Pelodiscus sinensis: one gene and its partner. The main gene of each other region encodes a partner of the protein of the gene in region 2 in a complex. Links are inferred from orthologs where the notes say so. Each region holds a gene or a part of one and is shown on either strand. Other genes may lie near its edges.

Evidence for each region. The genes of interacting proteins can lie anywhere in the genome.
Region 1: the proteins of TGFB3 (region 2) and ITGB6 are in contact, whole or in part, in a crystal structure (PDB 4UM9), measured with the Homo sapiens proteins. The link is inferred for Pelodiscus sinensis from reciprocal best matches to the Homo sapiens genes TGFB3 and ITGB6. Residues at the interface, in NP_001316868.1 of Homo sapiens: His259, Gly262, Asp263, Leu264, Arg266, Leu267, Lys268; in NP_000879.2 of Homo sapiens: Ser142, Ala143, Ser144, Asp147, Pro196, Cys197, Ser199, Ile200, Tyr202, Cys204, Ala234, Asn235, Ile236, Asp237, Thr238, Glu240, Asp271, Lys355.

The regions. Positions count from the first base shown.
Region 1 is NC_134717.1:33,576,369-33,583,566, reverse strand, and holds the start of ITGB6 (integrin beta-6), read left to right. Parts: upstream 1-4,124; 5' UTR 4,125-4,580; intron 4,581-7,198. UniProt on the Homo sapiens protein: Integrin alpha-V:beta-6 (ITGAV:ITGB6) is a receptor for fibronectin and cytotactin. It recognizes the sequence R-G-D in its ligands. Internalization of integrin alpha-V/beta-6 via clathrin-mediated endocytosis promotes carcinoma cell invasion.
Region 2 is NC_134714.1:43,367,041-43,374,184, reverse strand, and holds the start of TGFB3 (transforming growth factor beta-3 proprotein), read right to left. Parts: upstream 3,065-7,144; coding exon 2,581-3,064; intron 1-2,580. UniProt on the Homo sapiens protein: Transforming growth factor beta-3 proprotein: Precursor of the Latency-associated peptide (LAP) and Transforming growth factor beta-3 (TGF-beta-3) chains, which constitute the regulatory and active subunit of TGF-beta-3, respectively.

The DNA.
Region 1 (7,198 bases), on a different chromosome or scaffold from region 2:
AAAACAAGCATGTGGCTCCTTCATAAGCTCTGAAGCTATGTTTACATTGTGGTTTCTTGCACAAGAACATATGCAAATGAGGCATGGTGATGAATATTGCCGTGCCTCATTTGCATACTTAATGAGCCTCCATTTTTGTGCAAGGGGCTTTTTCTTAAGAAGGAACAATCTACACTGCTCCTTCTTGTGCAAAAATCCCCTCTTGTGCAAGAGCTGTTCTGCCTGAAAATAAGTGGCAGAACGGCTCTTGCGCAAGAGGGGGGGTTTGCGCAAGAAGGAGCAGAGTAGACAGCGCCTTCTTGCGCAAAAGCCCCTTGTGCAAAAATGGCAGCTCATTAAGTATGCAAATGAGGTGCGGCAATATTCATTGCCATGCCTCATTTGCATATGTTCTTGAGCAAGAAACCACAATGTAGACATAAAACTAATTTGCATATGGTCTTGCGCAAGAAAGTGCAATGTAGACATAGCCTGAGTGTTTCAGTGCACAGAGAAGGCTTGAGGAGGATGTACTGAAAATTAAAATCAGGCAAGTGGTGCGTGGTTTCTGTTTGTGCTTCAGACATCTATCACTGCTCTTCTCAGCAAACATACCTCAACAAACCATTCTCTAGTGCATAGGTTCCAAACTGGGGGGTGTGAAGAAATTCCAGGGGGGATGTTAGGCAACCCAGCCCACCTTTTCCCCATCTATCCTCTCCCCAAGAAAGAGCCCGGTCCATCCGGTAAAAAAATTCAGAAAACGAATGGATGGAGCATTCCGGGCAGACTTCAAAATGACTGCCTTCAAAGGGCAATGCCTGCTCTGCTCTTAAAAGGGCAATCTTTTTCCTTTTTTGGGTCAACGACTCCCCCCTCCCCGGCCTTTTTTTTCTTTTTTAACACTGATCCTGGGAATTAAAGGGCCGTGACTGGTTTCCTCTCCCCCGTCCCTTTTCCCTCAAGTTTTGCTGCTATTTTTTGGCTGGGGCGGGGGAAGTTTGAGGGTTTCTCAAAAATCAAAAAGGGGGCGTGATGCCGAAAGGTTTGGGAGCCACTATTCTAGTGGCTATCAAAATAAGCTCTGGCATTCCTCTCCAGATTGCTAATGAGGGGGAAATGTTTTGTCTTGGCATATTGTATAGGATTAAAACGAGGCAGCTTGAACCAATGAGCTACAGGCTGCACAGGCTATTTGGTGTTCAAATCCTGAAGTCCTTATACAGGCCAAACTCCCATGGGACCAATGGAATTTGCCCTGTGTAAAGATTTTAGAATTTAACCCATAAACGTTAAAGAGATATGTGTATGGCTGTGTACACTATGGAATGCCTGATCGTAAAATACACAGTATGAGGAAAGCTGGAGACAAGAACAGCAGACTTTTTACACCCACATAGTCCTATTCTTGGACCTGGGATATCAAAACCATCCTGCATATTTCTGCTAAGCTTTCCATCTTGCTTGCAAGCAATTAAGTGAATCTATTATGGTCTTGTTCAAGTCATGGGGCACTGACAGAGAGCAACCTGAACAAACCAGTCAGTATATGCGCCCTCTTGAAGAGCAAATATAAAATATTGTAAAGCCTAAAATTGAAAATGTGTTGCATGTACCTCTGAACTTAGGCTGTTTAGTGCAAAGTAAATTTTATATTGATTCATCTGTGTAAGTCAGTGCACAATTCGAATTTTGGGAATATGAGCAGCTTTTTGTTATATCGATATCTAAGCTAATTGCACAAAATCACAGATGCTGCTTAAGAAAATTATATTTACAGTAACATTAAGAGTATGATATAAAAGGGAAAAGGTTCTCACTTATTTTTAATTCATCCTCATGTGGCCACAAACATATTTACTTAGCATAAAGTGTCATTGGAAGTGTATATGGCTGTGCAGACAAAAATACAATGAAAGTATTACAAACAGTGGGGCCGACAGACTCGCTGGGCCCCTGGGTAAGGTGAGGGGTTTTGGCTCCATGCCCCTGGAAGGGGCAGGGCCTCAAGCAGAAGAGGTGGGGCTAGAGCTTGCTTCCTCCAGACAGCCCTCAGCACTGGACCCTGGGGCAGTTGCTCCCTTGCCCCGCTCCACCCCACCCTTATTGGCAGGCCTGATTATAAGTCACAGCACCATATTCACTGGATCGCAGATATTTCCCAATATCAAAAAGCCACCAGGCACATGGAGTAAGTTAAGACTGAGATGTAGAAGCCTCACTTTTCTGTTTATGAACAAGGTTAAGCGTTTGATTCTGAATTAGATAGCTAAATACAGATACATAAGGTTTGATTCTGCCATGCAGTTGATGTTATCTTTACTTGAGTGCGGGAGCTGCCCTCAGAGGCCTATGCTGTATTTTGTTGAAGTTAATAGGGGAGAATCTGTGCAGTTGCAGGATTTAGCCCTTTGTTGCTTTAAGGAGTTTTTTGGGGGAACCTTACCAGTGATTCAAAACCCCCAGTTTAAGAATACCTGTTAATACCCCTCGGATGCCTGTTAAATGCGTTACTGTCTGGTTTTCTGCAAGCCTAGCAGAATCTTTTTTTTTTTCTATTTGATCTTTCAGACCCAAAACATAGCAGTTCTCATTCTTATTCCTTTACTATCTCAATGAAAAGAGCTATTCAGGATATACTTGGCTTATGGGACACAGCAATTTTACGGGTTAGGGTGCACTGAATCCATACCTGACTTACTGCTGGGTGGGTAGAAAGTACACATGCAAATGCTAATTTAACAGTGCAGCATTTGTTCTTTGTATAGTTTCAGCTCCAAATGTTTGGAGAGGATCTGCATTTTTTAAATTTATTATTATTACTATCCTGTTACAGAAATAATGGCATGCGCCACAATTCAGGCCTGGATGTTTTGTTTCAGCTTATCTCTGGTCATTTGTGGTCCTTTCTACATGTCCTCTAATATTTTTGTACAATTAATTTTACTCTTACATAGGCACAATAACGGCTCCATGTACTTTGTAGCACATTGGATCTAGATCATGCCACCTGATTTATGAAACAGGCCCTCTCTCCTCAAAGTGTCTCATTAAAGTGGCAGATTTTCAGTTCTAAAAGTGACATGTTGATTACTTAAATTTCTGTTTAGGTTAAAGTCCATATGGTCCATAAAATCTACTGTGTAAACTCCCTTTAAATCAATGTTTAAGTATTGTAAAGTTCACACTATGGTCAAATTCTAATCCCATTCAAGTCATTGGCAGACTTGCCCTTAAGTTCAAAGGGAACGTGTTGCATGTTGTTTGATAAATAAAATGATATACTATATGGAGCCCATAGAATTGTAGACATATAGTACAGATTATATCCATCATGAGTAAGGGTTCTGCATGCTAAATTTTTAAAACTGTTGTTGTTTAAAATGCACATAGAGCAGCATGGTGAGGTGGTGATTACAGAGTAGCAGCCTGAAATATTTATAACATTTTCCTTCTATTTAGATATAATACCTACATTTTGTAGAAACATCATACAAGTATCAGACTACCTATCCACTGAACTGATAAGTCATTAAGGCCTATATTTTTTAAAGTGGCCACTATATTTTTGGTGCCTCAGTTTTTGAATATCTAGCTTGATTAATCTAGAACCTAATTTTCAGATAGGCTAAGCAACCACCACTCCAGCTCACATATAATGCCCATGATGTCTCAAGCGATGCATGTACAATTAATGGACACTTGAAATTTTTGTCCTAAATGGTCATAATTTGGCTGAAAGCCTGGATCACTATGGAAATAGCTGGAAAAAAGAGGGCCACTTCTGTATGACCAGACTGCTCTTCATTCACCACCAAGAAGAGATCAGATCTTAGTCAAGATGGGAGTCACTGTATTATATGATTAATTCCCATTTCCATTGTTTCTCCTAACTAAGAAAGAGTCTCTTAGGCCATAGGGGCCTTTAGTCACCGTGGTTAGTGAAAGACATTTATTTATCAGAAACTGATGTATAGTCATCCAACAGGAATATTATAAATGCATTTGTATACCATCAAAGCAGCCTCTCTTGACTTGTTCACAAAACAGGCGTCAGGATCTCCATATCTAATTGTTAAATTGTACCAATGCTGTATTTTAGTGCCACAAAATATGTAAATCCCCGGCATGCCTCTGTTGTGGCCACCCCAGCATTCTTTGTTTATGCTATGTTTGAATGTATTCTAGCACATAAGATTTATCTTCCTGCTTACTCTTAGTACAGTTCCAATATAAGTAATACATTGGCATAGCTTTGCCATTTGTCAGCCAGCAGTCTGGTAACACATTTGCTCGTCAATCTAATTTTAACCTTTTCTCACACAAGCACTTGGTATTTCATGTAAATCAACCAGACATTCTGTTTTTTACTAGGGCTGTATCTTCATAGTCTTCTAAAACCATGTGCTTCACCCAAAATATTCATTTTAACTTGTGGAAGGATAATTAAAGCTTATGAGGTACTTAAGGACTGTTAATACCGGAACACTTGGAATCTGTTTATTACCACAGCAAAGATAATTATGTCTAGCGAAGATTTTTGAAAATGAGTATGATAACATCTTTCATCATTTTCTGAAATTAAAGGCCTGTCCTGAAAGGTAAGTGATATAATGCATGGCTAAAAAAATCTTACAATAATGCCTGGCTGAAAAAACTTGCTACATAAGTTCTAGATCTGTATTCTTGTTGTTTTAATCTTCATCTGGGCATAGAAGAAATATACATCTATGATGAATTCATAAATATATTTATAAGTAATCACATTTTGGCTCAGTTCACACAACAGATTTTTTAAAGATAATGCTGATTGCTAAAGAGGATGTGTTTCATTCTAAAATACATTGAAAAGTAGACATATTTGTGAGTGTGTCTTCAGTATCTCTTGATATTGGGTAGCAGCTTGTGTAGTTAACATTTAAGGATCTTCTAGCATTTCCTTTACTTTATCACTTTTTCTGGGGGTTATTTGGCTGAGTGTTCACTCTTTCTTCATATAGCAGTTTTAGATGTTTTGTAAGTGTCACTATGACCCAAGTCTTTATTTCTTTTGTATTAAAACTGGAATGGTGAAGGTAATTAGTCACAGGTGGTAGTTTCAAACATTCTGCTGCATTAAGAGGTCTAAAATATATAAATATGATTATAAACATGTATTAGAATAATCTGTAAAGTCTGCCAAGAATCCAGTCCCACATAATACATCCAATTTATAATTCTATACAACTTCCATGCACTCTTCAACTGTTAATTATTAATAATCATGCAAAAATAGCTGTTTTTAGTGATCTGATCAAATGATGCTAAAATCCTATTAATGAAAAAAATGATATATTAACACAGTGACTGAACACTTCACCCAGGTTTAAAACAGAGAAGATAAAGCTATGCTTAACTGCTATAATTTATTTTTAATAATCATTCATAGCATTATAGCTATTACTGCACACAGCCCATGGAATCCCATTGGGAAAGACCCATGAAGGCCACAGGCAAGACATTAAATTGCCCATTTTCACTAGTTCAGAAAACCCTCTACTCCTACACTGAAATGGAAGGAGACAATCCCATCATTCTTTCAGCCCATCCCCACTGCTCCCACACTCTTTTTCTCAACATAATTGTTGAAGTTTCCACTAAATGATCCTTTGTAATGAGCAAAGGGTGTAGACCAAATCTTGACCTCCCACAATCTGCATGGATTTATTTGTGTTGATTGCCAAGTTCTTTGGGATGCGGGCTGTCTTACTAAGTGTTGCACAATTCAGCTCTGATTCTGACTGAAGACTGTAGTCACTACTGGCAAGAGAAATAATAATTAAATTGGTTCTAGCACATTTAAGGCTTTCCCCAGAGGGATTGGCAGAACTTGCCCATCACATAAAAAAATACTCAGACAACAGTGTGGTTCTAATGGTCAGGACACTGGAGCAGGACTTGGGGTTAGCCACTGTGGGCAAGTCACTTCCCCTATAGTGCCTGAAAGGCAATAATGATATGAGAATCATGGGGCTGGAAGAGACCTTTAGAAGGTCATCGAATCCAACCCCCTGCTAAAAGCAGGATCAGTCTCACCTACATCATCCCAGCCAGGGCTTTATCAAGCTGGGACTTCAAAATCTCTAGGATGGAGATTCCACCACCTCCCTAGGTAACCCATTCCAGTACTTCACTACCCTCCTAGTGAAATATCCAACCTAGACCTCCCCCATTGCAATTTGAGACCATTGTTCCTTATTTTGTTATCTGTCAGCACTGAGAACAGCTTCTCTCCATCCTCTTTGGAACCCCTTTCAGGTAGTTGAAGGCTGCTATGAAATCTAAGGTTGTTATGGGCAGGTAATTAGGTTATCATGTAGTTGATACAATTTGTATCGACTACACAATTAACCGAAAAGGACAGCACTACCCCCGCTGCAGCTCTGCAGTTTAAATGTAGTAAGAGCCGGGCGCCAGTCCTACTCTAGGGAAGTCAGTGGCAAAACTCTTGATGATTCCAATACAAGTAAGTTATGTGTCCTTAGTGTCCACTGCCTCAATTAGTCTTTGTATTCTTCCAAATATTTTCCGTATCAATCTTTGAAGCTGTCTTGCTTCATTGGGTGAATGGGGGAGTCACATATTCAATGTTTCTTTCAACAAGAGAGTTTTGGTAGTAGTAAAGGCTAATAATTTCTCATTTGTGGGAATCAGTAGAAAGTAGGTGAAAAAAGGCCTGCAACACCTGACTATAACCATGAGCTGTGTGCGGTAAGGCCCAATTGAAAATAATTGGAGATGAGCATTATGACAGAATGCTGGAAAACAGAAACTGATACAGCACTCTGATCACTGCCACTACAAGTAGTTGCTCTAGAATAGCCCTGATTAAGACCTGTGCCTAATTGGTAGCTTGGGATAGGCTAAGAAGAGCCCAAAAGACTAATAAGCCCATTATCTAAGGAGTAGAACAGGGATACACAGGAAGTACTCAGGGTTAGAGAGAGATTGCAGGTGTGCCTGAGCATTCTGAGTGAAGATACCTTCTGTGCTTCCTCATTGACTGAGCGAGCTAAGGGTTGTATGATATTGCAACTATGGAGCTGGATGAGTTTGTATGGTAGTGGGGAGAACAAAGTGAGGTAAACCATGAGCTATCTGACCAGAAGATCTCTGAGAGGTTTGTTGATTAAAAAAAGAAAGGAGAAGGACCTTGCCCTGTCACAAGGATATTCTGCTC
Region 2 (7,144 bases):
TGCAGCTCCTCCATAACACAGCACCAGGAACCTCCATCACCAAAACTGCATCCCCAATGCAATACTACAGCATCAAGGAACACCCTGGCTACATCTAGACTGGCATGATTTTCCACAAATGCTTTTAACGGAAAAGATTTCCGTTAAAAGCATTTGCGGAAAAGAGTGTCTAGATTGGCACGGACACTTTTCCGCAAAAGCACTGATTTGCGCAAGAGGGCTTTTGCCCGAACGGGAGCAGCATAGTATTTCTGCAAGAAGCACTGATTTCAGACAGTGGAAGTCAGTGTTCTTGCGGAAATTCAAGTGGCCAGTGTAGACAGCTGGCAAGTTTTTCCGCAAAAGCAGCTGATTTTGCAGAAAAACTTGCCAGTCTAGACATAACCCCTGTGTTGGGACATCACTGCATGTCTTCCATTGTATTCCAGAACTGAGGAATCTCCAGCACTGACTGAAGGGATTGCTCAGTCCCAACATCCATTCAGCTCCCACATCTGCAATCTGCTCGGGATTGGTGTCTGCTCAGTCTCTAGGTCTGTATCTGAACCTGAATCTGGTTAGTGTCTGCATCTGTATCTGCTCAACATCTGCTCTGCACTTGCTCCACATCTGTTTTTCAGTATCTCCTTGGTGTGTGTGTGTCCCATTGAGATCTCCTCTGCATCTACTTTGGTGTCTGCTCTGCACCTGCTCAGCATCTATGTGATCCTCTGCTCATTATCTGTCCCCTCAGTATCTGTTTCTCCTGAGCGTCTCTCCAGTATCTGCTCAGCATCTGAGTCTCCTCTGCATTTATGCAGTGTCTTATCATTGTGTGTGTCTCCTTAGTATCTGAGTTTCCTCAGCATCTCCTCTGTCTTCCCTTAGTGGCTGTACCTCTCCACATCTCCATGTCTGCCTTCCTCTGTACATGTATCTTTGTCTTCTCTGCATCTGACTACATTCTGCAGAGTAAATGAGCCAAATCCATTCCTACTGCAACCACTGAAGCCAGCAGAGTTTTGCCACAGATTAATATGGCCCAGCACTGGGACTATGTTTTCCGCATGCAGACACGCTTTTATTTCTGCTACTAATCCTTTAGGGTGAATTCAGCCTACAAGCCCCAAACTCTTTCCTCCTCATCGCCTCCGCTCACCATCTTTTTTCTTTCTTCTCTCTCCTCCAGTCGGGTGTATGTGTCTCCTCCCTTCCCATCTTCTTCAGGATATCAGGGCTTCAAACATTGGCTGGGCTTGCTATTCCTTGGCTAGAGTCTAGGCTGATGTTATTCCAAGACACTGAAAGCCCATCCCTTGCCTGCCGCTTGCCAATGCTCAAACTCCTCCACCTGCTGGAGGCTGCTCTCCAGCCAGCACTTGGCCATTTAAAAAAAATTGTTTTTAAAATTCATCTTTAGGTTTTTTTCAGACCCCTCCCACTCACACTGCTTATCTCCAGGCTCCCCTATACACTCTACATACCACCCCCACACCTATGGCTCTCTAGTGTTGTCTTCACTCTATTCCCCCAACATACACACTTGCTGCCCCAATAAACAATAATTTCAGCGTCCATGAGGACACCTTATGGTATGAAGGCAGCATGAGGCTATTCCCAGACTCTGGGGTTCTCGTCTGTGCAGTCTCTCAGCATTTGCCAGATTTCTTTCATTCCTACTGTGCTTTGAAAATCTTTGTTGTAATCATGTGATTCACATACACTGAACATATATGTTCAAAGGCATGCAAAAGCACATATACATCTCACAACTTCCCTATATGAGCAAATACACATGCCAAGAAACACTGCACACTGAAACGCATGGACTCTTCCCAACCATGTACAAACCTCCATGAAGATATGAAAACATATTACTCCCACTCAGCTATACCCCAAGACACAGAAACAAATGTCTCATATGTCACTCCAGCCTCACATAGGGCTGAAACACACGTAGTCTTATCTCACTGGTAAAAAATGTAGATACATAAACAGACGCACTGGCACTCACACATGTGCACACACATACTTGGACAAACATGTGCGCACACATTCACATATAAAATACATGCACATGTGCGCAGACACAGACAGACAATGCATAATATAGAATGTGCACATGCAAAAATAGACCTGTGTGTACACATTCACTTTTGTACAGAAAGCTACACAACTAGCTGTACATACACACCCACACATAAGCATTGTCAGGCACACACTTTACAGCAATGTGGCCTAGATCAATCACCTAAAAAAAGACAACAAAAGAGTTGCTATTTTTTTTCTTTGCTAGAAGTGGATGGGAAAGCAGACGTGTCCACAGTTACTAGACACCTGCCTCAGAATGGCTATCAGAATCTGTGAATGCTCCTGCCAGGAAACTTCATCCCTTCCAGAGGGAAGTGCAAAGTATTCCTCCTGCATTCCCCCTCCCCTGTCCCAGTAGAAGGCACTGCTGTCCCTTCCTTCTTGCTCCCCACCCTAGGCAGCCTTGCCTCTGGGCTTCATGCACTATGCACCTCCTGCTCAGTTTTGGGTCCCTCCCAGGATGACGCCCTGAAAGCCATGCACAGGAGCAGAGGATGATGGGGAACTTACTGTGCTCGGGAAGACCCTGGATCAGATCAAATTTGTGGATTTCCTTGGCGTAATATTCGGACTCGGTGCTGTCCTGAAAGCAGCTCTCCTCCTTCTCCTCCTCCATCTCCTCCAGCAGCTCCCGGGTGCTGTTATACAGGGCCAGAATCTGGTAGGGCACATGAGTTGGTCCTACCGTCTCGGGGGGGCTCGTGAGCCTCAACTTACTCAGAATCTGCCCCCTGATGGCCTCCACCCTCTTCTTCTTGATGTGGTCGAGTTCTAGGGTGGTGCAAGAGGAGAGCGAGAGACTGACGGTGGCAAAGCTCAGCAGGCACAGGACCACCAGCGCCCGTTGCAAGTGCATCTTCATGTGCGAGAGTAAAGAGGGAGCCACAACGAGGGGACACCCCAGAGGAAGCGCAAGTGGGCTAAGGAGACTAGGCAGGGCTTTCGGTACAGCCTCCCCAGATCCTGCAGACTGAGGCTTGGCACGAAGGTGCATGAACTCACTGTGCAGTGAGCGATTCAGGACTTCCAGGAAGCGCTGGCAACACTTAGGAAGGAGAAACAGGCTCTGTGCCGCGGCGAGCCGGGATCTTTCTCCATGTGTCCAAGCAGGACCCGCTGAGCCAGGGCTCCAGACAGACCAGGGCAGGGGAGGGCGCCTCCGCACGAAGCCAGGAACAACCGCAGAGAGGCTGGAGCTCGACTGTGCCGCGGGGCAGTCTCGCAGCTCCAGAGGCAGGTCCCCTGGAGCAGCGACCTCCTGCGCCCGTGTCAGGCAGCCCCCCGGGGACGGGCAGGCGCAGGCTCCGCACACTTGTTGCGGGCATGCACTATCCACGCGCGCCCCTTAGTTCACAGCCCCTCGCGGGGCAGGACGGGGTTTGTCATTCGCGGCCGCTTGGCTCCATTGGCGCTGCGAGGAATTAAGCGACGGCCGCGCTGCACATCCCTCCGGCGTCTCCGCGGGGTCCAGGTAGGAGCCTGGGGTAGCTCAGCGCTGCCCCTCGCCTCGCTTTGCGGGCGGTATCCCCACGCGCAGCCGGAGCCCCGTGCGCGCCTGTCCTTTTCGCTCGCCCTCTCTGGCCCCCGGCCCCCTCGCTCCCTCACACACTGACTCTCTATTCCGCTCGGCTGAAATTTTATACCTCCCTCCCATGACGTCTGCGGGCCTGCAGGAGGGTGGGGGAGGGACCTGCCGGCCCAGCGTTCACATTCAACCCGGGTTTAATGCGTTGCACAGGCGCGAGGGGAGGGGGGCAAATCCCAGGCTCGGCCTCTCGCCCGGCTGTCTGGCTCGGGCCGGTGTCCCACCTCCCTAGGGGGGAGGGTCGGTGCTTTGCCCCCAGTCTCCCCTCTGCACCGTCCCGCTCGCGCCCCTTCTCCTGCCACTTCCCACTTTTTGCTCCCCAGCCCTGGTTTGACCGCGTTCTTCCCCGCCGCCCCGCTGAGCAGCGCCTCCCTCCCCCTGGGCCCCGCCCGCGGGGTGATCCTGGGGGACGAAGCCCACTGCCGGGCTGGCGGGTTCCGAAATGGGACGTGGGCACGTGCCTGGGCCCGCAACAAGACCCTGCTGCACCGCGTTCGGGGCCGGGGGGAGACTCAGCGCACGGGCCCCGCGCGGCTTTAATCGTGGTCCGGGGCAGCTCTGCGGGCCGGCTCGGAACGCGCTCCCGGGGCCGGGAAGTCAGGGTGGGGCTTTCGGGAAAGCCAATGGCGCTCTCTGGCGGGGAGCACAGGCCGGTGGCGCGGCTCCTAGGCAGCCGCTCACCCCCGCCGTTCCCAGCCTGAGCTCCTTGCAGCCCTCGCTGGTGGTCCGCAGAGAGCTGGCGGGTGACTTGAGGCTGGCGCCTCCGCTGATTTCCAGCTGCTAAATTGCATTAAAAGAAGCTAAAAATACATGACATACTTTGCTGATGTGATTTTTCCATGTGAGCAATTGCTGGAGCTGCTGGAGCGATGGGATACAGCAGGGAAGGGGAAGGGATATGAGGGACCGGGGTGGTGGAGGTGAGGGATGGCATGGCTGGGCAGGTAATGGCAAATAGGATTGGGGCAAGGGATTCAAGAGCCAGCAACAGAGTCTGGGAGAGGGGGAGCTAGAAAGTGGATCCAAGCAGTGGATAGGATGTGGAAAGGGGGGCAATTTTTATGGGTGGGCTGGATAAAGCCTTACTTAGATTCAGAAGGCATGGACAAGTAGGGGAACTAAGTATTCTACATGCCCATATGGCCCCCCTCACCATAGTGTGTCAGCACCCCACAATCTTTCATGTATTATCCTGTGAAGTTGGGAAGTACCACTATCACTGTTTTGGAAGGGGAACTGAAGCACAGAGAGTCTTTGGGTATGTCTACACTGCAAAAAATCCCCACAACAGCGAATCTCAGGACCCTGGTCAACTGACTTAGGTTTGCTATGGGACTAAAATAATGTCAGGACATTTCCACCAGAGGAGGAGCCCTGGCTCTGAGACCCTCCACCTTTGTTCAGGTTTCAAGAGCCCATGCTCCAGGGCAAACAGCAATCTCTGTACTGCTATTTTTAGCCCCTTAGCACCAATCCCATGACCCAAATCAGTTGGTTTGGGCTCTGTGAGACCTGTTGCTTCAGGGTTTGGGATTTTTTGAAAAGTGTAGACATACCCTATATGACTTGTCCAAAATCACACAGGAAGTTTGTGGCACAGCAGGGCATTTACCTGTCTCCCAAATCCTAGGCTAGCAACCTGCCCACAGAATTATTCTTCTCTGTGCTTAGCTCTTTTATAGCTTTTCATCCCAAGATCTCAAAGTCTTTTTACATAGCAGGTCAGTGCCATTAAAAGTAATTCTTGAAGACTCGGCCTACCCCTTCCTACCTGTGGCTCATGAAGCCAGACACAGGCAGCCTGGATCACAGCAAGGAGCAGTTCAACAACAGGCTGAGAAAGTGCAGAATGGTGCTAGAATATGCTTTTGGACTTTTAAAGGGAAGGTTTTGAAGTTTTTTACTAGGTTAGATCTCAGCAAAAGCAACATTCCCATTGTTATAGCAGCCTGCTGTGTGCTCCATAATACCTGTGAAAGTAAGGAGGAAAGCTTTATGCAGGGTGGGGGCCTGAGGGGCCTGACACTAGGGAAATAAGGAGCATGCATTGTGTATCGGAGAAGCTTTGAAAAACAGCTTTGTGAATGGCCAGACAATGATATGACAGTCATGTGCATTGCTCTTAAGTGTGCTTGCCTGTAAATCCTGTAACCTCTCTTCCAGGCAACAAAAGCAATAAAGATACTGTTGTTGAGACATAATGTGTTTTTATTTAGTGAACACAAGGAAGAAGGGACAGAAACGGAGTTCAGGGCAGGAGCTTGGGCACGGTGTGTGAGACATGGGAAAGCAGCATATTACAAACCCCCTTGGTGGTATAGATTCAGTGTTTAGAAAATCTACTTAATGTAGTTAAGTTCAACCTAAACTTCTAGGCTACGTCTACACTAACCACCCACTCTTGTGCAAGAAGATTTACAGTACGGCATGGTAAGAGAGGGCTTCTTGCGCAAGAGCTACGCTCTTTTTTTACAAGTGTAAGCCTTCTTGCACAACAGCGCTTGTGCAAGAGGGCAGTATGGATGCACGGCAGGGGTTTCTTGTGCAAGAAAGCCCTATAGCCAAAATGGCCATCAGAGCTTCCTTGCGCAAGAGAGTGTCCACACTGCCATGGATGCTCTTGCGCAAAAGCACATCTCACACATGGCAGTGTGGACATGTTCTTGCACAATACTTCTTGCACAAGAACCTACCAGTGTAGACATAGCCCTAGTGTAGACCAGGCCTAAGGTTAAAGGAATGGTGAAGCAGTATTGGGCTAAAAGGGCCCTACCCCTGAACAGCTCTCGGAGATGCTCCATATGGCGGACTTACTTAAAGAGAGCTCTGACAGTCAAGTGAGGATGACAGAAAGTGACAGACTGCCCGCAAGAAGACAAATAGGCTGTATGTGCTGAGGCAGAATCAGCCACTGGGGGAAGAGCCAGCCTTGTAAGGCTTGGCTGGTAGACTGCACCTTAACCCCCCACATCTCTTCCTGATTGGGGGAGCAACTGGTCTCTGACAATAACAGTAACGTTATTTCGGAATAACATCTCAGAAGAGTGCATCTACACTGCAAGACATTATTTTGAAATAATGTCGAGCTGGAGGACTTCTTACTCTGACTCATGGTAATCCCCATTTCACAAGGAGTAAGGGAAGTCAAAGGGAGAGTGTTCTTCCTTCAACTTCCTACTGTGTAGACAGCACCAAGAGCTGAATTAAGCTATTTTGACTTCAGCTATGCAATTGACTTAGCTGAAGTTGCGTAACTTAATGTGAGTTTTGCCCTGCTGTGTAGATGTACCCAGAGAGAGAGAGAGATGGGAAATCTCCAGATGAGATTCTAATTACTGAGCTTTACAAACTTAAGTTGCAGCTGCAAGACACAGCTTAGTTTTAAGTAGGAAAATGAGACTTGTGATCTACACGCTGGAACCAGACAACTCAAGCATTTACTTTAGTCAGAAAGGCAAGCTAAAATTCAATTTGCTAGTCAAGACAGAA